Medicago truncatula: one gene and its partners. The protein of the gene in region 2 interacts with the protein of the main gene of each other region in a pairwise test. Links are inferred from orthologs where the notes say so. Each region holds a gene or a part of one and is shown on either strand. Other genes may lie near its edges.

Evidence for each region. The genes of interacting proteins can lie anywhere in the genome.
Region 1: the proteins of growth-regulating factor 5 (region 2) and shaggy-related protein kinase eta interact in binary tests that used the Arabidopsis thaliana proteins (3 or more experiments, as listed by UniProt). The link is inferred for Medicago truncatula from reciprocal best matches to the Arabidopsis thaliana genes GRF5 and BIN2.
Region 3: the proteins of growth-regulating factor 5 (region 2) and ethylene-responsive transcription factor 12 interact in binary tests that used the Arabidopsis thaliana proteins (3 or more experiments, as listed by UniProt). The link is inferred for Medicago truncatula from reciprocal best matches to the Arabidopsis thaliana genes GRF5 and ERF12.

What each region holds. Positions count from the first base shown.
Region 1 is NC_053043.1:5,064,045-5,071,440, forward strand, and holds the start of shaggy-related protein kinase eta, read left to right. Parts: upstream 1-4,380; 5' UTR 4,381-4,558; coding exon 4,559-4,573; intron 4,574-5,603; coding exon 5,604-5,696; intron 5,697-5,833; coding exon 5,834-5,893; intron 5,894-5,970; coding exon 5,971-6,243; intron 6,244-6,327; coding exon 6,328-6,402; intron 6,403-6,503; coding exon 6,504-6,560; intron 6,561-6,935; coding exon 6,936-7,076; intron 7,077-7,205; coding exon 7,206-7,352; intron 7,353-7,396. UniProt on the Arabidopsis thaliana protein: Negative regulator in brassinosteroid signal transduction pathway important for plant growth. May be also involved in auxin signaling pathway. Phosphorylates and increases the degradation of BZR1 and BZR2/BES1 by the proteasome.
Region 2 is NC_053049.1:7,193,727-7,201,089, reverse strand, and holds growth-regulating factor 5, read left to right. Parts: upstream 1-4,435; 5' UTR 4,436-4,787; coding exon 4,788-4,971; intron 4,972-5,102; coding exon 5,103-5,604; intron 5,605-5,873; coding exon 5,874-6,226; intron 6,227-6,414; coding exon 6,415-6,422; 3' UTR 6,423-6,846; downstream 6,847-7,363. UniProt on the Arabidopsis thaliana protein: Transcription activator that plays a role in the regulation of cell expansion in leaf and cotyledons tissues.
Region 3 is NC_053043.1:4,049,075-4,055,354, reverse strand, and holds ethylene-responsive transcription factor 12, read right to left. Parts: upstream 1,427-6,280; 5' UTR 1,254-1,426; coding exon 735-1,253; 3' UTR 517-734; downstream 1-516. Other genes in the region: receptor-like protein 4, read right to left, coding at 4,884-5,011, 5,142-5,323, 5,458-5,535, 5,613-5,684.

The sequences.
Region 1 (7,396 bases), on a different chromosome or scaffold from region 2:
CACCGACACCTCCTCACACCACCAAAAATGTGGCCTACATCACCACCTCACACACCCATCACCTCCTCCACATAGATCTGGATTGGAAGGAAACAACCACCACACAAAAACACCAGACAATTTGTATTTTTCTAAGAGCCGCAAACTCAGCACACGCAAGGAAGAAAACAACCGCAACTATTGTACTAAAACCACCACCAACACCTCCTATTACCTCCAAAACCGAGACTTACCTCACCACTGTCACCACCTCACACCACCATCACTTCCTGCACAGGGATCTGGGACAAAACGAAACAAACACAAAAGAGCCACTACGAAAATCAACGCCAACATATACCAACATATACGAAAACCACCCAAATCTGCCATAACAAACCACCATCAACCCCACCACCATGAGTTGCTACACCACCATCATATGGATCACGCAGAAGAGGAATAAAACCACCGACGAGAACCGCTACGACGGAATGACTACAACACAAATCCGGACACCAACCCACGAATCCAAGGCCATCACCACCGAGAAAGGGTGTTGCGCAACCCATATCAACCACCAAACCACCGCCATCTTGGAATTATACCAAAGGCCGCTGGCGGTCTACGACCACCCCAACATAATATTGACACTTTATAAAAAATAATATTGGAATGATAAAAAATAATATTGACACTTTAATTGCATTTCTTAATCCATGTGTATTTGTTAGAATGACATATAAAATGGAACGGAGGAAGTAGTTTATATCAAACGTGTTTTTAAATGTTGGATTGCCATTCGTCTTGGCCCAAACATATACAAAGTAACATTTGATCTATTAGTTGTCCTATCTTAGAAACTTTTTAGCACCCTGGTATAAAAAGCTTAGAAAATTCCTATAATTGATCAATAACCTAACATTTTCTACTTTTGGCCCCCGTGATATTATATACTTTATTGTTTTATTTTTGAAAGACTTGCAAAAACATGCTATGAAAAATCAATAGCAAAAAAAATTCTATTAATACAATGTCTATCATGATGACACATCATTTCTTAACATATTATAATTCTTCTGAAGTGGTGATAGATTTGAGAGAAGAAAATTTGGTCTAAAAAACTAAACTCAATCCACTCTTTAATGAAAGCTATATGTGAATTTATGTTTGATCATTTTTATTACCACTTATAAAATTCTTTCTTTCAAAAAAGTTTATCGGAGGATAACTTATATCTTTTTATCACATTTTATTTCTTGAACAATTTATTAAGGAAAACATGCAGTAATGAAGCACAAAGTTGTGTGCATTGATTGATCTTGATCATAAATCTTAGATTGGCCGGTTCATATTACACTCATGTAAAATCATCTTTAAATAATCTTTATTGTTGATTTAAGATTAAACGACCAAATGATCAAAAGTAACAAAAAAAGACCATATGATCACATAATTAATGTGTGGCATCTGAATTACATGGATGCATCATATTTTTATTGATAGTATTTTAGCAATTATATACTCATCCGATGTAATATTTTTGCTGTTATAAACAGAGTTTGCATGCAATATTATTTCCCTTGTCTAGTATTGAAGGTGGTTAATTAATTGAAATACAAAACAAAAAATAAACGTACCCAAACTTTCTATGTAAATTTGATTATGGTAAATTTAAAAAGAAAATTCAATCTAAGTAACTTTTCAAGTAGTACAAAGATTTGTTAAAAAAATAGAGTAGTAACTATTTCACAACTGTATAATTTTAACTATGTAATTTTACATGAATCTAATCTATAATTATGTTCCAATTGTGTAACTATTTCACAAAGGCAACCATATATTGGTACACATTCTCTCAAAAAAAAAAAAAAAATTGTGTACACAATTTTTATCCCTCTTCTTTATACTATTATATTAACGGAGAAATGGGTAAGTTTTGACATTTACTATTATGAGTTGTATGAAATGTCCCTTACATATGATTATCACTAACGAGTTTGTACTATTTCTTTTATTTACATTTAATGCATTCTTCTTTGCTTCTTCTGGGAATATTTTTCTCTATATTATTTCTATTCCTAACTTATATTTTTTAAAGAGAAAATGATGCATTAGATTATGAACAATGTTCTATAACAAATACTAACAACAATTTTAACATAGAAAGGAGAAGGAAGCTATGTTACCAAAGTTGCACTTGCAAATATATGGTCATGATCAACTGTTGTTGACTATACCATTTCAACAATAAGATGCTAAGAGTTGTGTGGTTAAAATCATAGCTAAAAAGTTTACATGTAGTTACTAGTTAGACTTAGATATGAAATGAGATTTTATGGTGCCGTTTAGTTATGAGTTTGAATGGTTGAGTATCACTTCGTTGTTGGGAACCAAACACATTTTTAATTAAAATTTATCCTCTTCTCTCTTTTGAACCAAACATATATTTAATTAAAATATCTCCCCTCCATTTTCTTTCACTCCATTAAAATCCATTCCCTCCTCTTCATTGAACCAAATATACCCTTATAGCATTTTTTTAACAAATAGAACAAATAAATTTTGTATTATTAAATTGGTTGTCGTGATTGCTATTATTGATGGTTATAGAAAATTTAACAATACGCATGTATTTATACTAGTTCTAAGCCTCGTTTCGGAAAGAGTTGTGTTATTTAAAAAACTATTTATATGACAACTTTTGAGACAACCATAAATTTATAAAAAAAAAAGTATCGACATAAAAGCCAAAACAATAGAGAGGAAAAATAAAAACATAACATGAGTATGAAAGAGAAAGTTGTCACAAAAGTTGTCAAAATATAATTGTACAAATATTATTTATCTTTTGAAAAGCACGAAGTTATTATGCACAAATCTAACCTCCATGTGTAACTACATCCGACAACCACTAATCTCCAACACAAAGCCCCTGTTTGGTTCTGCGGTAAGATGCCTCAAACGTGCGTTTTTCACTACAAACGGGATTTCATGACACTTGAAGGATGTTTGGCAAGCAGTTGGAAACATGATTCTTCCTTTCAAAATCGATTCCAGTTGAAGCTACCATGTGTAGCTTTTGCGTCTGACTATATAATCAATTTTATGGAAATCACAAGATATTTTACAGCTCTATCCTTTTCATCCCGCGCTTATTTCTTTCTGTTATGTGCTACAGTGTCATTGTCTAGAGGTTAGTAGTGATAAAACTAAGAGAAATGATATTTGAACATTTTTTTTTATAACTTTTGTGACAACTTTTTCTCTCATACTCACATTATGTGTTACTTTATCTCTCTATTGCTTTGATTTTCGTGCAAATACCTACTTTTTCTTTGTAAATTATTGTTGTCACATAAGTTGTCAACCAAATAGTTATTCAAATAACACTTCTCTAAAACTAAATGGCTCTGAAGTCCCATCATTATGTTGAGTCGGTTGCCTTTAATTTTTTTTTCCTTTCTTTATATTATTACCTTTTACTTAATCAACATATTTATGTTTTACTTACTACCCAATCAACGTATTTGACAGTATTTTATTAATCAATTAACATAAAAAAATAATTAAAGAAGATGTAACAAGAAAAATGTATCAATCCACTATATTAACCAAAATAAAAGAAAAACTAATTAAATGATTGAGAAAAAATTTACCAAAATAAATGAAGGAGAGAAAAAAAAAATTAACAAAATAAATGAATGAGAAAATTGATCTATATGTTAAAACCTATTTTGGTCATTTCCACGCTCAAAAGCAATTTTGACACAAAATATCCAAACATCATCTTACATACAAATCAATTTTGCATTGAAGGTATTCAAACACAAACCACTTTATGTTAAACTCACTTTTAACCAAAATCAATTCTGCAAAATTAATTCAATCAAAATCAAATTTTGCCACCGCGTAATCAAACACACGCTAATTCAAAATCAATTTATATGTAATCTCAAAACCAAACATACGCTAGCTTTATTAAAAAATTCAACAAAATTTATATACAACCTATAATTATAGTATTACCGATTAAAACTCGATCAAGTATGATTATAATTTTTTTTAGATAAACAAAATAACAATAGTTATTAAAAACTCACTCATAAAAATAAAAAAATTAAAGTTCAAACTTCGATCACCACAATTAACTTAACATTTTCGTTGTTATTATCTATTGAGAGATGACATATTCATATGAACTCAACTTTCAATCAAGTACTAGTATAGTAGTATTAAATTAAACAAAAAGACATATTTTTTTGACCGACAGATTAAATTAAGCACGTCTAATGATTGTATTAACAGCAAATTGTTGATAATCAACAAAGCTGGTCAATGAAAATAGCAAAAGTCCAAAAAAGAAAATTAAGAAAAAATAATAACAATAAAGAAAAAGAAAAGGTAGACAGAAAAGAAAGGGGAGAGAGAGAAGAAAAAGAAGAGCTGGAATCACATGGACTTGTCTTTCCCTTGCTGGGTCCTCCATTCTCTTCTTCTTACTTTCTCTTCCATTCTCTTCTTCTCTCTTTCTTAGATTCATTCTTCTCTTCTTTCTTCTCTTCCTCCTCCTTCAACCATGTCTGAGGATAAGGTACTTTTTTGTAGCATAAAAATCCCCTTTTTTTTTTTAGCTTTTTTGATTGGTTTGTGAAAAAACTGTGATCCATGAATGCTAAAATTGAAAAAAGTTGTGATTTTTATTGTTTTTGTTGGATTATGAAGCTGTAAATTCATCTGGGTTGTGTGATTTTTGTTTAATTTTTTTTTGTTAGTTGATTAAGGGATTGTTAGGGTTTGTTATTTTGGGGGAAATTTGATTTGTTGCTAAATTTTTTTTGGTCTTTGAGGTTAATAGAGAAAACCCATTTTGCTTATTTTGAAGTTGATCTATGGGTTTCTATGAAGTTTTAATTTTTTTTCTTTATTGAACTGGATTTTTTTTTAATTTTTTTAATTTTTAAGATTTGTTTGTTGCCGACAGTTATGTTATAATCAGATCATGTTCTTATGTTGATGTTGGACTCTCAAGGTTTTGTTTTGTTTGTTTGTCATGAATCTGTGATTGGTTGCTAGTTTTGCTATATGTGTAGTTTATCAGTTTGATTTGCGATTCTGATGAACATGTTTTGGTTCAATTTGTTGTTATCTGTTTCTATCTGTTGTATTGTTTTGAAATTTTAAGATATTTTAGCAAAATATTTTGTTGTGTTGCTTTTTTGTTTCTTACTTCAATTTTTTCAATAAAAGTTTGTCAAAAATTAAGTTTGTTTTCTGGATTGAGTGCTGCTATAGTTCTTGGTCGCTTGGTCTTTAGTTTTTAGCATCTTATTTCCTTCATGGTCGTCTTTTTGCGGTATCATCATATGTTGCGTACCAGATTTGTTTCTTCATGTTATATCTTTTAGAAACTTACCTTTTGTGTTTTTGAGTATGCTGTTGATATGTGATGGTTTAATTAATTGTGTATCTTGTTCTTCATGGTAGTCTTTACTTGCTATTTTTGATGTGTTCATCAATTAGTTAATCATATTGTTTCTATTTTTAACTTCACTTTGAAATCAAACCATCTATAAGTATTTTGTGAGCAATTCCAAATTCTTATGTTCCATCAATTTCAACAGGAGATGTCTACTTCTGTTATCAATGGGAACGATTCCCTCACTGGTCACATTATATCTACAACAATTGGAGGCAAAAATGGAGAGCCAAAACAGGTATCATATTCTGTAAATCCTGTTTTGCTGATAATATTTCAATTTTGAGATTGAGTGATTTGCCGAGTTGTTAACAGTTCCATTTGATAATTTTTCCTGGATTCCAAGTTTGACATCTTGTTCAATGGTTCTTGTAGACTATTAGTTACATGGCAGAGCGTGTCGTAGGAACGGGATCATTTGGAATTGTTTTCCAGGTATGCTAAAGCTAGATTCCTAATTGTTGTTGTCTCCACCATTTTTTTTTGCCGCATGCTGATTTTTCTCTTCTTAGGCAAAATGCTTGGAAACTGGAGAGGCAGTAGCCATTAAGAAGGTTTTGCAAGACCGAAGATATAAGAACCGTGAACTACAATTGATGCGTGTGATGGACCATCCAAATGTGGTCACTTTGAAGCATTGTTTCTTTTCAACTACAAGTACGGATGAACTTTTTCTGAATTTGGTGATGGAATATGTTCCAGAATCCATGTATCGGGTCTTAAAGCACTACAACAATGCTAATCAGAGAATACCGATCATCTATGTAAAACTTTATATGTACCAGGTATGCCTTTAACTTTCTGGCGAATAAAAAACTTCTCTAATTCATTCAGTCATTGGCTGATATAAACTTGTGGTGGGCATGCAGATCTTCAGGGGGTTGGCTTATATCCACACTGTTCCCGGAGTTTGCCACAGGGATTTGAAACCTCAAAATATATTGGTATGTTAATATGCTGTTGCTGGATATACATTTAAAGTTAGAACTCTTTCGTAAACGTAGTAGTTACTTCTGGCCCTGATTTCATTATGTTTGTTCTCCAGGTTGATCCTCTCTCACATCAAGTTAAGCTATGTGATTTTGGAAGTGCAAAAATGCTGGTATGTTGACCTGCTCATCATATTTTAATATGCCTAGTTTTCTTTCTTTGGTGTGCACCTGTATTTTTTTTCCTTTTAATTGAGTATTCAGTAACATTATTATTATTATTAATTGTTTTTTTTCTTTTCATTTTGAGTATTCAGTAACTTAGAATGTCAACCGATAATCAATCAATTTTCATAAAGTTTTGACACTTGTAGATGAGATGTTTGTAATTATTACACTGTGTTGATGTCAGTTTCTTTGCATGATGTCTTTCGCTGCTCAACAGCAAGCTTTGGAGTCTCCCTACACTCTTATTTATTTATTTTATTTCAAAGAATTCATAGTACTTTCATATGGTACTGATTTTAGATTTTTTTTTCTTTGTTCAGGTCAAGGGCGAAGCTAATATATCATACATATGTTCTCGTTTCTATCGAGCTCCAGAACTTATATTTGGTGCCACAGAGTATACTACTTCAATTGATATTTGGTCAGCTGGCTGTGTCCTTGCTGAACTGCTTTTGGGCCAGGTTTGTGCCATTATTTTGTTTTCATACTCACAGTCATCACCATCATCATCTAGTGCAAAATGATGTATTTCTACTAGTATCTTCCACCTATGACCTACCTGTCATCTGATACAATGCTATCTTTTGTAGCCGTTATTCCCTGGTGAAAATGCAGTGGACCAGCTCGTACATATTATAAAGGTGCTTGGAACACCCACCCGGGAGGAAGTACGCTGCATGAATCCCAATTACAATGACTTCAGGTTTCCGCAAATAAAAGCACACCCATGGCACAAGGTCTGCTTCTCTCTTCTTCGACTGCTGATTTTTTAGATGATCAA
Region 2 (7,363 bases):
TTGATTTCATATATTTGGCCCTAATTTGGAGCTGCATAGACTAGATCCCACCACACATTTACCCATCTTTCTATGGCATTGGCATATTTTTACTATAGCGCATGACGTTTCAATAAATAATTAAAATAAAATAAAAACACACTTTAACTCATGGTGGGAGTGTGGAGATGCGGATAACACTTTGGTGATATTGATCAATCACAATATCATAAGTGTACAAAATGATAAAAAATTATGACTTTCTTCTTACTCACTAACAAGCATTTTTTGTCATTTTGCACACTTGTGACATTGTGGTTGGCCATGACATTGGCACCTCAATATCACCAAAGTGATGTCCGTGGAGATACTAATTTTCGAACACACTCTTTAAAATATTTGAGTATTTTTTTCATAAAATTGTCTCCTTTACAATAATTGGTTTTGCTATAAAAAAAAAAAAGCTTAGTGGTGTATTGCTCGATTGTCTAATATTTATGTGTAACTTGAAGTTAACTTGTAAGTGTGATTTTGAGTTTTGAATTTATCATACAAACTTACTTAATGTTTTTTTTAAAGGAGAAATTCATTGCTTCTTATTATCAATCAAAAAAGAAATACATGACGGTACATTATCATAATCATGGAAGCTAGCATGAGATGGGGCTACCTTAGTTAATGCATGAGTGATCCCATTGGTTTGCCTCCTATTGAACTCGACATAAGAGTTCTGAAAACTAATCTGAAACAATTGTTTACAAGCATGCATAATACATCCAAACTCATTGTCATTCTCTAAAGAAGACCGAAAATGATCAACCACTATGTTAGAATCTAAAGCAAAGTCGACATTATCATAGTGAAGTTCCGCCATCCATTTCAACGCCGTATGAAAGCCTACGGCCTCACCCACAACAACATTACAAAGAGGGGAAAAACAATATGTTTTAGCACTAACAAATTCGCTCCTGTCATCACGAAGACAAATCCTGATACTCACATATTCATGGAAGAAGAAAAGGAGGAATCAATGTTACATTTATACCTACCATAAGCCGGCTTCGACCATTCCACCACCATACTATCGCTAGAATTGCCTTGGTGCGTCAAAGGTACATCTTCTCTTTGCAACCATATTTGTTGGGCTGATCGCCAATCATCCAGGGTATGCTTTGCACGCTCCAATACATGCATGATCGTTTCATTTTGCTGCTGCCACAATTTCAAATTCCTACGCTTCCACATACTCCACATAATCGTCACAAATAACTCTCTTTGGACCAAAGGCAGCTGATCAAGAAGAGTAAAAATAAGTGCATCCATATTATAATTTTTTCGGAGAGTTCTGTCAATTGTGTTCCATAATTGAACCACACGCCAAGCTTGCCTTGCAGTGAACATTCCAACAACACATCAATATTATCCTCATAGTTAACTTACTTTAATGTTAATAACTAGCTAGCATAAATCATTGTATATTCAACTAAATTTTAATCAAAATAATGTGTGTTTGAATTAGTCTTTAATTTAGTATAATTAATCGCAATATGTCACCATGACTTTGATAAAATTTAAATTTTGGATGCTAAAAGAAAAGCATCATAATGAGCAAATGAAAAATGTGCAAGAAATCCAAAACTAGTTTAATATATTAATGTATATGATGCTAAAAATATTATATTATATTATAATTACAAGTGGAGAAGTCCTGTGCATAGTCTCTGATGATTCCAGTCAAAGAAAAAAACAAAAGGCACTCAGGTGATCTTTTTAAGCCTGCAATGTAACAGCACAGAATCAGCCAGCAAATAACAAAAAAAAGAAAGAGAAAAGCTGAAAGGAAAATGTTATTGAGGAAATTTTTGGGTTAATCAATATGAAAGGTTCAGTTAGGTGTGTGAAAAATAAAAATAAAGCATGTGTTTTGGGACAGAGAAACAGTGTCTGTGAATAGTTTTAACCCTCAGAGTGCACTTTCCTGACACCTTCTGTAGAAGAAAAAAAAAAAAAAAAGACAAGTGCTTTCAATTGCAAAACAACAAGAAGCACGAACCAGCTAGATAGTCTTTTACTTCCACTGTACCAACCAGCATCAGTGAACTTCAAAAGTTACATCATCATGATGATGATAAATAATGCTTATAACTCTGAAACACTGTGTGTGTGAGGGAGCAAAAATAAATAAATATAAAGACCTTTCACTTTGCTGCTATATTGATATTTGTTTGACATTCAAATTTGTCATGTATCTTGTATTTTTATATGATATGATTAGTTACCACAAATTAGGAGTTTATGAAGCTTGAACGACTGAATTAAACAGCATGTATTCCTAATAAGAAGATATAATATAGCATGTAAAAAGAGAAGAGGTATTTATATTAGTAGTTTTCAAATCATAATTTTTAAAAGTAATAAAAGTTGTAATCTTCAAGTTGATTGGTTATGAGGAAATTGTTGGTAATATAAGAGATTTGACTTATATACTCAATCTTTAAATTTTGGATAGAGATGTGGTGTTCAGTCTCTTACGGATCCTTGATCATTGACTCGTTGTTTTTCTCAGCTCTCCTCTAGAATCCCCAAAAACTGGTATGGTAGCCTTGATTCAACTTGATGGGGAGAGTGGAGGTGGAATCCTAGTGTTGGATCCTTGTATTGAAAGTCCTCATAGAAAACGTGTTATGTTGGAATTATGTAGTGCAAATATAGAATGTGGGAGACTTGCATTTAAGAGAAGATTGTTGGATTCGAGTGTGAGTGGTTTCCCACATCCAATGTAGTTGAGTTAAATATTAGATATATAATAGGTGTGACTCATATACCAAACGTCTTAAGATTTCTAATAGAGATTAGTTGTTTCTCTACCGTGGTCATGGATCATTGGTTCTATTGCTCTTGACGCTCCATCAAACACCTCAACAAATGGTATTAGAGTCTTAGTTCGACTTAATTGTGGAGTTGGAGTGGATCATGATGTTGGATTCTTGTATTTGAACTCTTTCTCGCATTGTAGTAAGGGCGTGTTCTATTGGTTAATAGATGTGCAAGTATAGGATGTAGAAAACTCACACTTGAGAAGGAGATGGTTGGACTCAAGTGTCTCACATTTATTATATAAATGAGTTACATATTAAATTTATACGAGAGGTAAACCATAATATATACTTTATGCGTTGAGTTTTTAGTAGAGATTTGGTGTCTTGGCATTCCTTGATCATTTGCTCGTTGTTGTTATTGGTGGGGAATGGATCCTCTCCGGTGACTGGAGGGTCCAATGAAATCTTCTCCATTAAAAAATAAATGCATTTGAGAAATTAAATGTTAAAATCAAGAGAGAAAAAATATTTAATGACTTAAATGCATTTGAGAAATTAAATGTTTAATGACTTAAATTAAATGTGAAATTCCTTATTGGAATTATTGTATGTGTTGATATTATAAAATTACAAGTAATTTAGAAAGAAGTTGTATCAAACTTGATATTTCTATTCAATCTGAAATTTAGAAACTACAAAATATAATCCAGACATGTACTTATAACATCTTGTTTAATTCATCTTATACCGTATTAGAAAAGCCTCAAACAATGATTTGGCCAAAGCCTATTTTTGGTAACCAAGCTATAACTTTAATATTTAAAAAAGGAGAAGTGAAACACACACTTACTGTTATTCCTATATGGCCCAAAAAGATGATGTATTCATCTTGTGGTTGAAGAAATCATATTAACAGCCAAACATGTAAAGGATTATCATGACATGACTGTACCCAATGAAACATAAGAGTCCAAAATTGACTGTAACCTAATTTCTATCCTTGAAAGTAAGATGCCTAATGGTGAGAAAATGTAACAAAAGATAACACATCATTCCGTACCTAAAAAAAAAAAAAAAAAGGATTCAGCTTTAGCCAATGACCTCCCATATCTATGAATAAGATCATGCCAGGCATGCTTAAACCAAAAAAGATTATAAATGACACGTACTAGACTTTCTTATATTCAAAAGCTATACCATATCCTAAGATTGTTAAAAGAGATTTATACCACCGACTACAATTGCGATTGGTATGGTTAGACTTTTTGCTCACATTCGTCGTGTGACTCAAGCTTGAGTCTAAACTTCTATAATTTCTTATAGATTAAGGACTTTTTGACCTCTAATAAACACTCCAAAATATCTTACTTTAGGTTTAGATCTTTTGATCGTGCTATATAACCAATTCATAAGTTGATAATAGGATGTCCTTATTGTTTATGCGAGGTTGGAATGTCTCTCAAATATTAAACTTCAGGAATCAAATTTATATTCTTAATCTAAAAATTATAAAGAAAAAAGGAAGAGAAAAAAAAAATTGATGCTATATCATGATATATGATAAAATAGGCAGTATAGGTAGCTAAGCAGCTTACACTTGACATAATCTGATGGCACTGTTTTCAAAGAATGATGTGGAGACAGCAAAACCAAAGGTGCATGGACTAACATGCATTTGCATTTAATTTTTTCTTTGTACATTAGTTTATGAATTTGTGTAAAAGATGTCAGAGACAAGGGCAGCAGCAGCAACAACAAAGGCAGGTGCAGAGAAAAAAACAGAAGCATCACAGGTTCAGTCATTATAAGTTCAGACTCACTATCTCACCCATCCACCACATAGCAAAAATTAGTGAAGAGGTGGCAGAACACAATTTTCATATTCATTAACTATTATCCATCCATGCACAGTACAATAATCTCCAACCCCTCTTAACCCTCTTAAATAAAAGCATCTTCAAGAAAATCCTTATTTTTGTTTCTCAAAAAATGATGAGTGCAAGTTCAAGAAATAGGTCACTTTTCACACCAAATCAATGGCAAGAACTTGAACAACAAGCCCTAGTTTTTAAATACATGGTTACTGGAACACCTATTCCACCAGATCTCATATACTCTATTAAGAGAAGTTTAGACACTTCAATATCTTCAAGAATCTTTCCTCATCCACCAAGTAAGTATTGTTATAACTCTTTTTATTATATTTTATGATAAAAGAAATACTATATACTTTATGTTGTTGTTGTTATTATATATATGTGTATACTTTATATTTGTTTGTTGTCATAACTGTGAATGGTGCAGTTGGGTGGGGATGTTTTGAAATGGGATTTGGCAGAAAAGTAGACCCAGAGCCAGGGAGGTGCAGAAGAACAGATGGCAAGAAATGGAGATGCTCAAAGGAAGCATATCCAGACTCAAAGTACTGTGAAAGACACATGCACAGAGGTAGAAACCGTTCAAGAAAGCCTGTGGAACTAGTAGTTTCTTCTTCAACAACAACACCAACAAATAACACAAACACAGCATCTTCTTACAGCAACAGAAACATCTCCTTGAACAACAACAGCAGCAGCATAAACTCACCTTCTTCTTTCCCTTTCTCTACTTCATCCATGGCTTGTCATGATCAGTCACAATCTTTTTCACAATCCTACCAAAACTCTTCTTTAAACCCTTACTATTACTCTCAATCAATTACCTCTACTAAACCACTTGATCATTCTCATTTTCAAACTCAAGATGCTACTACTCATCACCTCTTTTTGGACTCAACATCTTATTCTCAGGATGACAAGGACTTTAGGTATGTATAAAACCAATAAATTCTAAATTGTTTTTTCAGTTACGCTGCCAACTTTTATATTTATATCTAATGCGGTTGAAATTGCAGTTGTCATACCGTTATAGAGACCTCTAAATATATTTATATTACGATTGCAGACTACAATTTAAAATCATAATAAACATATATATATATATATATATATATATATATATATATATATATATATAAAATTGCTAGGTTTTGATATTTTGTTGTGTATGTGTTATTGTACTTGATTGTTGATAAAGGAGGCAAGTTCAAGGAATAAGAGATGGTACTGTGGATGAGAGAACTTTCTTTCCAGAAGCTACAGGTTCATCTAGGAGCTGTTATCATGATTCATATCAACAACAACTATCAATGAATCCCTTTAAGTCTTACTCAAGCTCACAGTTTCAGAATATCAATGATGATAATTCAAGACAACAACAAGAACAACACTGTTTTGTTTTAGGCACTGACATCAAGTCAACAAGAACAACAAACAAGGACAAAGAAAGTGAGACAACTCAGAAACCACTTCATCATTTCTTTGGTGAGTGGACACCAAAGAACACAGATTCCTGGCTAGATCTTGCTTCTAACTCCAGAATTCCAACAGGTTGATTATCATTTATCATCATTCCTATGTTTTTGTTTTTTTTTTGTTATTATTAATATAAATATTATTATCCATAAAGTTATTTAATATTATCACACTTTACTAGCGTCTAGATAGGCACTTCTGTCTATGTCTGTCCGCTTTTTCTACTACGCTAACAAATTTATATACTTTATTATCCTTGGCAGATGAGTGAAGTTATTATTTGATTAAGAATTGCTGGTGGATACTGCCAAGAGAGAGTTAAAGATCAAAATGTTATGTGTGGCTGGGGTGAATTTTCTTTAGCAAAAGGTGTGATCTTTATTGTGTTATGTAGGGGACCACATTAGGATTTTTTTGTGTGTCTTGATGATATATTTTATTATTATTATAATATGCTTTGTTTCTTCAACATGAAGAAAAGTTAAAAAAAACATGTCTCAGATTTTCACACTTAAGATGTTTGACTGGAAAGCATATTAAGTTGCTTATGCAGTCTACTTTTTTAAATGGGTGGTAGTAGCAATAGCAATCAATCAAGGACAAATTTAAATTAACTTTCTGATGCTTGTGCTTGTATGTTGTGATGTATGGACCCAACAGCCAGAAAACATGTGCAATGAATATTTTGCAATATATTTACTACTGTTTTAAGATTAGGTGGGGAGAGACTGAGAGAGACACTTCCCCCACATCAAAATTCTCTATAACATATATCCAATTGATTGTAACTAGAGTGGTTGTAAGGTTTCAAACTTTGCATCAACACCTTATATTGTTTCATTCATTCACCACCCTTAGGATATAGAAATCAATGTGGTGTAACTAGGTACATGTTTAGCTTTATAATTTGCATCCTTCACTTTGGTTCCACTTCTAGAGGAACTAGAATTGATTCTGAATTGTTTAGTTATTGTCGACTAGAATTGATTCTACTTGAAACTAAGATATGTAGTTTTTGATTCTAGAATTGATTTTCACGCACAATTTTATAATTTGATTCATTTTTACATAAATTTGACTCATTTTTACATGAATGTATTCAAACACAAATCACTTTTGGTCAAGTTATTTTTAACCAAAATCAATTCTTTCCACACACAACCAAACTTCTATAACATCTTACTTTATAAACTTTATTAATTATTTGGTTAC
Region 3 (6,280 bases), on a different chromosome or scaffold from region 2:
GAAGAATAACTGAGACGCGCTTGGGAAAGTGAGTGGGTCTAAAAGTGGAGGAAAATATACGCTGCCAAAATGGTAAGAACCAGATCTCTGACTAGAAAAGGAATGCCATCATGCTGATACCCACACGCTCGCATCGCAGTTCCCGCTCTCAGCATAAACCAGACCCACTCGCGCGTGAAACCAAACTCCCTTTACACAACGCCGTTGTTTTCTAACGTGGTCCAAAACCAACAGCATCAAATTTACTGGTGTCACTCCCTCGTCGGTTGCCGCCCAACATTCCAAATGCTCCAAACCGTAAAACATTTTAGATTCTATTATTACTAGTAGTTCAAATATTTTGGACAAAGATTACATAATGTGTCCATCATACCCATTATTAAAACTACAATTTGCCAAGCAAAGTGTCATATGAAAAAGAATAGTTGATGTGAACCCATAGCATTTATTTCAACGTGAGAATCTAGCTCAATAACACTCATACTAGTCATAGACATCAATTAATATGGAAATAAATAAATAAAATATCATAAAGTACTTCATTTTTTTTTTTTTAAATGTTAGATTGCCATAGATACATTACAAAGATAAGATAGGTAGATACTCCCTCATGATAACTATGCCGCTAATAAGGGAGAAAAAGACAAGATTAATTAGATAAGATCCTAAAACGACGCCGTTAAAAAACTACAATAAATCATCTCATTTTACGCTACTTATTTGTCTAGGGTTTTTCAAAGCCACAACGGTGGAGGTTCATTCAAGTCAATCGGAATCCCACGTCGAACAAGTCCCAAGTAAGCCGCCGTCGGAGAGTTCTCAGCCACCATAGTTCTGCCGGCGACAGCAAGAGTAACTTCATTATGCCTCTGTCCAACCACCCCGCCGATGGGTGGAGGTGGAGGAGGGTTGAAATCCTTGAGAACACCAGTTTGAAGAAACTCAGTAAGCACACGGCCACGTGAAGGGACAGATGGCCATCGGAGATCAGAAGAAGGAGCGTTGAGATCCAAACAAAGTCCTCCGGCGACCGGCGCCGGTGGGAAGTTGGTTTTTGCTTTAGCTCCACGAAGAGAACGAGCGGCGCCGTCGTAAGCAAGAGCAGCTTCTTCAGGAGTGTCAAATGTACCCAGCCAAACACGCGTTTTCTTCCACGGATCGCGAATCTCAGCGGCGTAGCGTCCCCATGGTCGCTTCCTAACACCTCTGTAGTGTCCTTCACGATTCGCTGAAGAAGTTGAAGAAGAAGCCATGAAAACAAAGAAAAACAACACAAGAAGAGAGAAAAGAAAGGGTTTGCGAAGTGAAGTGAGAAGTGATTTGAGTTTATAAAAGTGAAGGGACCCACATTGGCTCCCGTAATTGTCGGCTGGCCGGCACCACTACAATACTACTACTACCACCCTTTGGTTTTGATTTTTGGTTTGTGATTATGTTTGTATATATAGACACAAAAAACCACACGAGGTGGGAAGCAAATTTGGATAAAATAAAGGGGAGCCGTTGATACTGATGGACGGCTATGATGTGAGGATGAAAGAAAGTGGTGGGACCCTATTGGGATAGCCGCCGGCTGAAAAGACGTATGGGGTGGAAGGAAGTGGGGGCTGTAGGAGCGTGACGTATGCCCTACTGTTGTTGTACGGTGTTTGCTCAGCGGCGCCTGACACTTTTTTCAAACTACTCCTGTCATTTTTTTTTATCTTTTATACTCATCCGTAATTTTATTTAATTTACCTAATAATATAAGGTGACAACTAGGGTACCCATGGAAGAATGGTGGGTAATTTACCCCAACCAATACACATTAGCCACATAAGCACATTTTTAAGTGGTATCCATGAACTATCTTAACCCCACCAACAAATTGTTCATTTTCATTGGTTGGTGGGTAAATTACCCACCATTCTTCAAAGGTAATCTAGAAAAAACCATAATGTAATCATATTCCACTTTCATTGCTAATGTTAAATTTCGTTGGTGAATTATTAATAATATTTTTGTCTTCGGGAGCATAGTTTATTTGGATGAAATAGTTCATTGTAACATGCGGTGTTTTTTATTTTTGAAGGATGTAACATGCGGTGTTTGAATTTTAAAGAATCTATTTATTCATCTTAAAATAATATTCTAAATATTAGATTAATTAATTACAAAAAACCATCTTTCAAATAAAAAAACTACAAAAAACCTCACTAAGATTTGCTTTGTCATGTTAACTTATGTTGTTAGGCACAAGTTAGAGAGTTACGAAAACAATTAAAAGAATTATTTTGTATTTCAAAAATAAATTTAAATTTGAGTTAAATACATAGTTTTTAAGATTTTGTTTCATCTTTTAGTAATGATATGTGTAAAACCATTTGTCAAAACTTTTTTTTTCTTTTTTGATTAGTCAAAAACTATATAAAGAAAAAAAAGGAAGAGAGAAAGTTAAACAATAATGTAAATACTCCTCCGTCTCTATATCTAAACATCCATTTGATTTTATTTTAGTCCTTAAATGTAATCCCCTTTCTAAATTACTAGATGCATTTATTATTTTTTTTTCTAAACATACCTTTAATTAATACTCCATCCGTTCTAAAATATAAGCAAAAAAATCTTATTTTCTTTGTCTCAAAATATAAGCAAAAAAGATCAATTTTTATGCTATTATTATGTTTTTTCAAACAAAACATCTTTTTCAATGTAAAATTAAATGCAAATTGCATTCAATTTATTCTCCTTTTTATTTTCTCCATAATTTTTAACCAACGAGAATTATTTTTACATCTTTCCATGAAACTTATTTTAAGGAGAACACAAAAAATTATACCTCAAATCATTAAGTGTTAGTTTTCTTGAAATTTAATACACATACAAACAAAGAACAATTTAGTAATATTAACACAGAAAACAGAAACATTAATTACACTAATAACTTTTCTTAAGAAATATAAAAAAAGCAAAGGGAGTTTACATTAAAGGACGAAGGTAGTATAAGAGATAAAATTGTTTAAAAGTTGTCACAAAATAAACATTAAAATATCAATTATGTTCAATTTTTTTTTTTTTGGTACAAATTATGTTCAACTTTACATTGCCTTGAGGGCATAAGTTATTTTTTTATTTTTTTTAGAATTTTATTTCAAAAAATATTCTATTTAATGTTTGTGTTTTTTTGGGGATTGAGATGTGTCATTGGAGATGAATAGTGGTTTATTGGATTGGAGGGGGAGTTTGTAATAAATAAAGAGGTATTATGGGAATTTGAGTTGTGGTAATGAAAGAGAAAGGTGAGATGAGGTGGATAAATATGATTGGATAGGGTAATATGTGGGGTTAGGTTAGTGCAGGGAGAGAGACTCCCACGTGGAATGGTGTCTGAGTAGCAGGGAACAGGTGAAATTGGGCCACCTTGAGAAAATGGGCTTATTTTTTTCTTTTTTATGGTCTTGTTGGCGTGTTTGACTACGTTGTTGTTGCTTGGGCTCTGTTGTAGTACTAGCTTTAATAAGTCTGCTACGGAGGAGTATTATTTTTTGTGGAGTAAAGAAAAGAAAAAGGACGAAAATTGAAAAGTGAGATCAGTGAGTGGTGAAAGTCAGGGACTGGGAGGGTGGATGGGTGGGTGATGAATCAGGTTCAGAGTGAGTGACTGCAGCTAGCAGATGGCCACACTGTGTATGCCTACAGATACGGATGTGTGTAGTAATAATAATCGTCACGTGAATTCATTCATCTTTTTTTATTAAAAATTACTCGGTTTTTGTTTCTATACGTCACTTTTATTTTCCTGTTTTAAAATATAAAAAAAATTTATTTTTTAGATTTATTTATTTAATGATGTATGTGGTTCATAATATGGACCACATACATTATTAAATAAATTATGGACCACATACATCATTAAATAAATGAACCTAAAATATGAATTTTGCTTATATTTTGAAATGGAGGGAGTAGTTTTTAAGGAAAATGTCCGGGCTATTAAGACTCCTACACTCTCCATCTCTTTTTTATAAGAATGCAAAACCGCGGATATTAAAAAAAAATGTTTAAAGTAATAAATTTATTATGTTATTATCACCAAAATTATTTATTGCCTGTTGAGATATTTATTTAAGGTTAATCTTTCGTATTTTATATTTAGACCCGCGCTTAATTGTTAGATTTGATTAAGGTTGAATCCACTTTCTGAAATTTTTATTTTATCATATTTTATTTTATTTTGTTAGAGTTGTTAACTGAATCAGGTTTTATGTAATTTTTCTTTTTTTAATAATATATATGAGCAATGCATAAAATATGTAAGGTCCGGGGTTGGGACCTCGGCTACCACAAAAAAAAAGAGTAGTGTTCCAACTTAGTTGGACACTATTTTTTTGATGTCATTTTGGTCTTGTCTTATAAAAAAAGTATACTAATAAGTTCTTTAAAAACAAAAGAGTAATGATAGGTAAACACCCTTAATGGGTACATACCAAATTTCAGCTGCTCTAACAGTGATCCACACATTTAAATTAAACAAATATAAATGAATGTACCAGGGCAGCTGTTATGTAAAGTAGCCCTCATTTATCCTCCACAGAATATTATGATTTCTGTTTACATTTTAATTTTTGAACTGTTACAAATATTCTATCAACAAACTAAAAAAATATTGAAGTTCAAACGTAAAATGAGTAATAAAAAAAAGTAAACATGTAATGTACAAAATTGTGATTTACAAATTAGTAGGATTCTCAGCCTGTAAGGTAGTGCAGTACAGCCATCAGAATACCCCTGCCATACATACATCAAAATACGATTATTGAATGAAAAAAAAATCAAATCAATTGAGGATGGGAAAGTGAAGAATGCTAGGATAGTTTTCCAAAAATACCAGAATAAATGGAATGCTATCCTCCAAGCAAGATAGGTCCATTCTCCGCAGCAGTATGAGAATTGCCATAATTATTACTATGCCTCGTCATCTGTATATCGCGTGAAAAATGGGTCCTCTTTTGTGCATATGGTGCTGCCCTCGCTATAAAAGAAAAAAGAGATATATTATTGTGATTTCAAATTAAGACACTATCCATGTACAACTACAAGATCATATACATCTAGAAAAAGCTCAATGCAGTAACAGCATATTAAGATATTAACATCCTTACCTGCAATTTGCTGAGCCCGGATGATATTCTTCCGCCTTTTACACCAGCAAACTGAACAGGTAATCAGAAGTAGAAAAGTAAAAAAAGCACCTAAGCCAATGCCAACTTTAGCACCGGCAGAAAGATGAGGTCCGCATGTAGGTAATCCAGGTATACCACACAGACCCGAATTGTCCGTAAAACTGCAGCAATCCACATGTTTTTATTTAGCAACCTTAATCATAAAGAAAGGGGAGAAATAGCATGTAGATATGGTTCTTTTCTCTTTGCATATAAATAGAACTTAAGTTTATTCTAGACTTTTATCACAACATACTTGAAGCTAGCTCTGTGCAGAAGCCTTCCTCCTAGAGTTGCCGGTACCATTCCGGACAGAAAGTTGCCATTAAGGTTCCTGCATGGTAATTATTTTAATATGAACTTACAGTTTTCTTATCCGTCATATGGGCAAGTTAAAAGATAGAGTCTTACAATCTCTTTAATGATGTCAATTGTCCAAGGCTATCAGGAATCGATCCATTGAAAACGTTGTAGGACAGGTCACTGCATGTGCACAAAAAAAAAATCACAAATGATATTTACCATGATAGCAAAATCAAGATTCCAACCTCCAGTAATCTAACAGTTATCTAATTTCAAGCGGTTTAAATCAAAGTATGAAGAAACTGATTCACTTAAGTTCTACAAGTCACTGACAAACAAATTCAGTATCTTATGCCCTGTTGGCTTTTCAGTATTTAGAACTAAAGCTACAACCCAAAACATTAATATTTTTATTTAGATATTTGATTTGCTTCTTAGAAGACTTACCTGTTAGCTTTTACTAATTAGAATAACTTTAAAGTATGGAATATTCACTATACTGCTATTTTATAAATTTTACTTGACCTTTGTTCTTTATGTTTGAGCCTTAAATATGATATATAGTTCAAGAACAAAACATGCTTCAATTCAAGCAGGAAATAGCCGAGAATAACTAGAAAATAAGAGTAGGATAGGGAGTAACAAATACATGTTGTGAATGAAAAAAACTACATTTAAAAGTTCTTGTTTCAATCTCATCATGTCTTGCCGCTGCAATCTTTTTTAATTCATGGAAGAACTAGTATCAGGAACGGAGCTCATATAAATTCCAAACA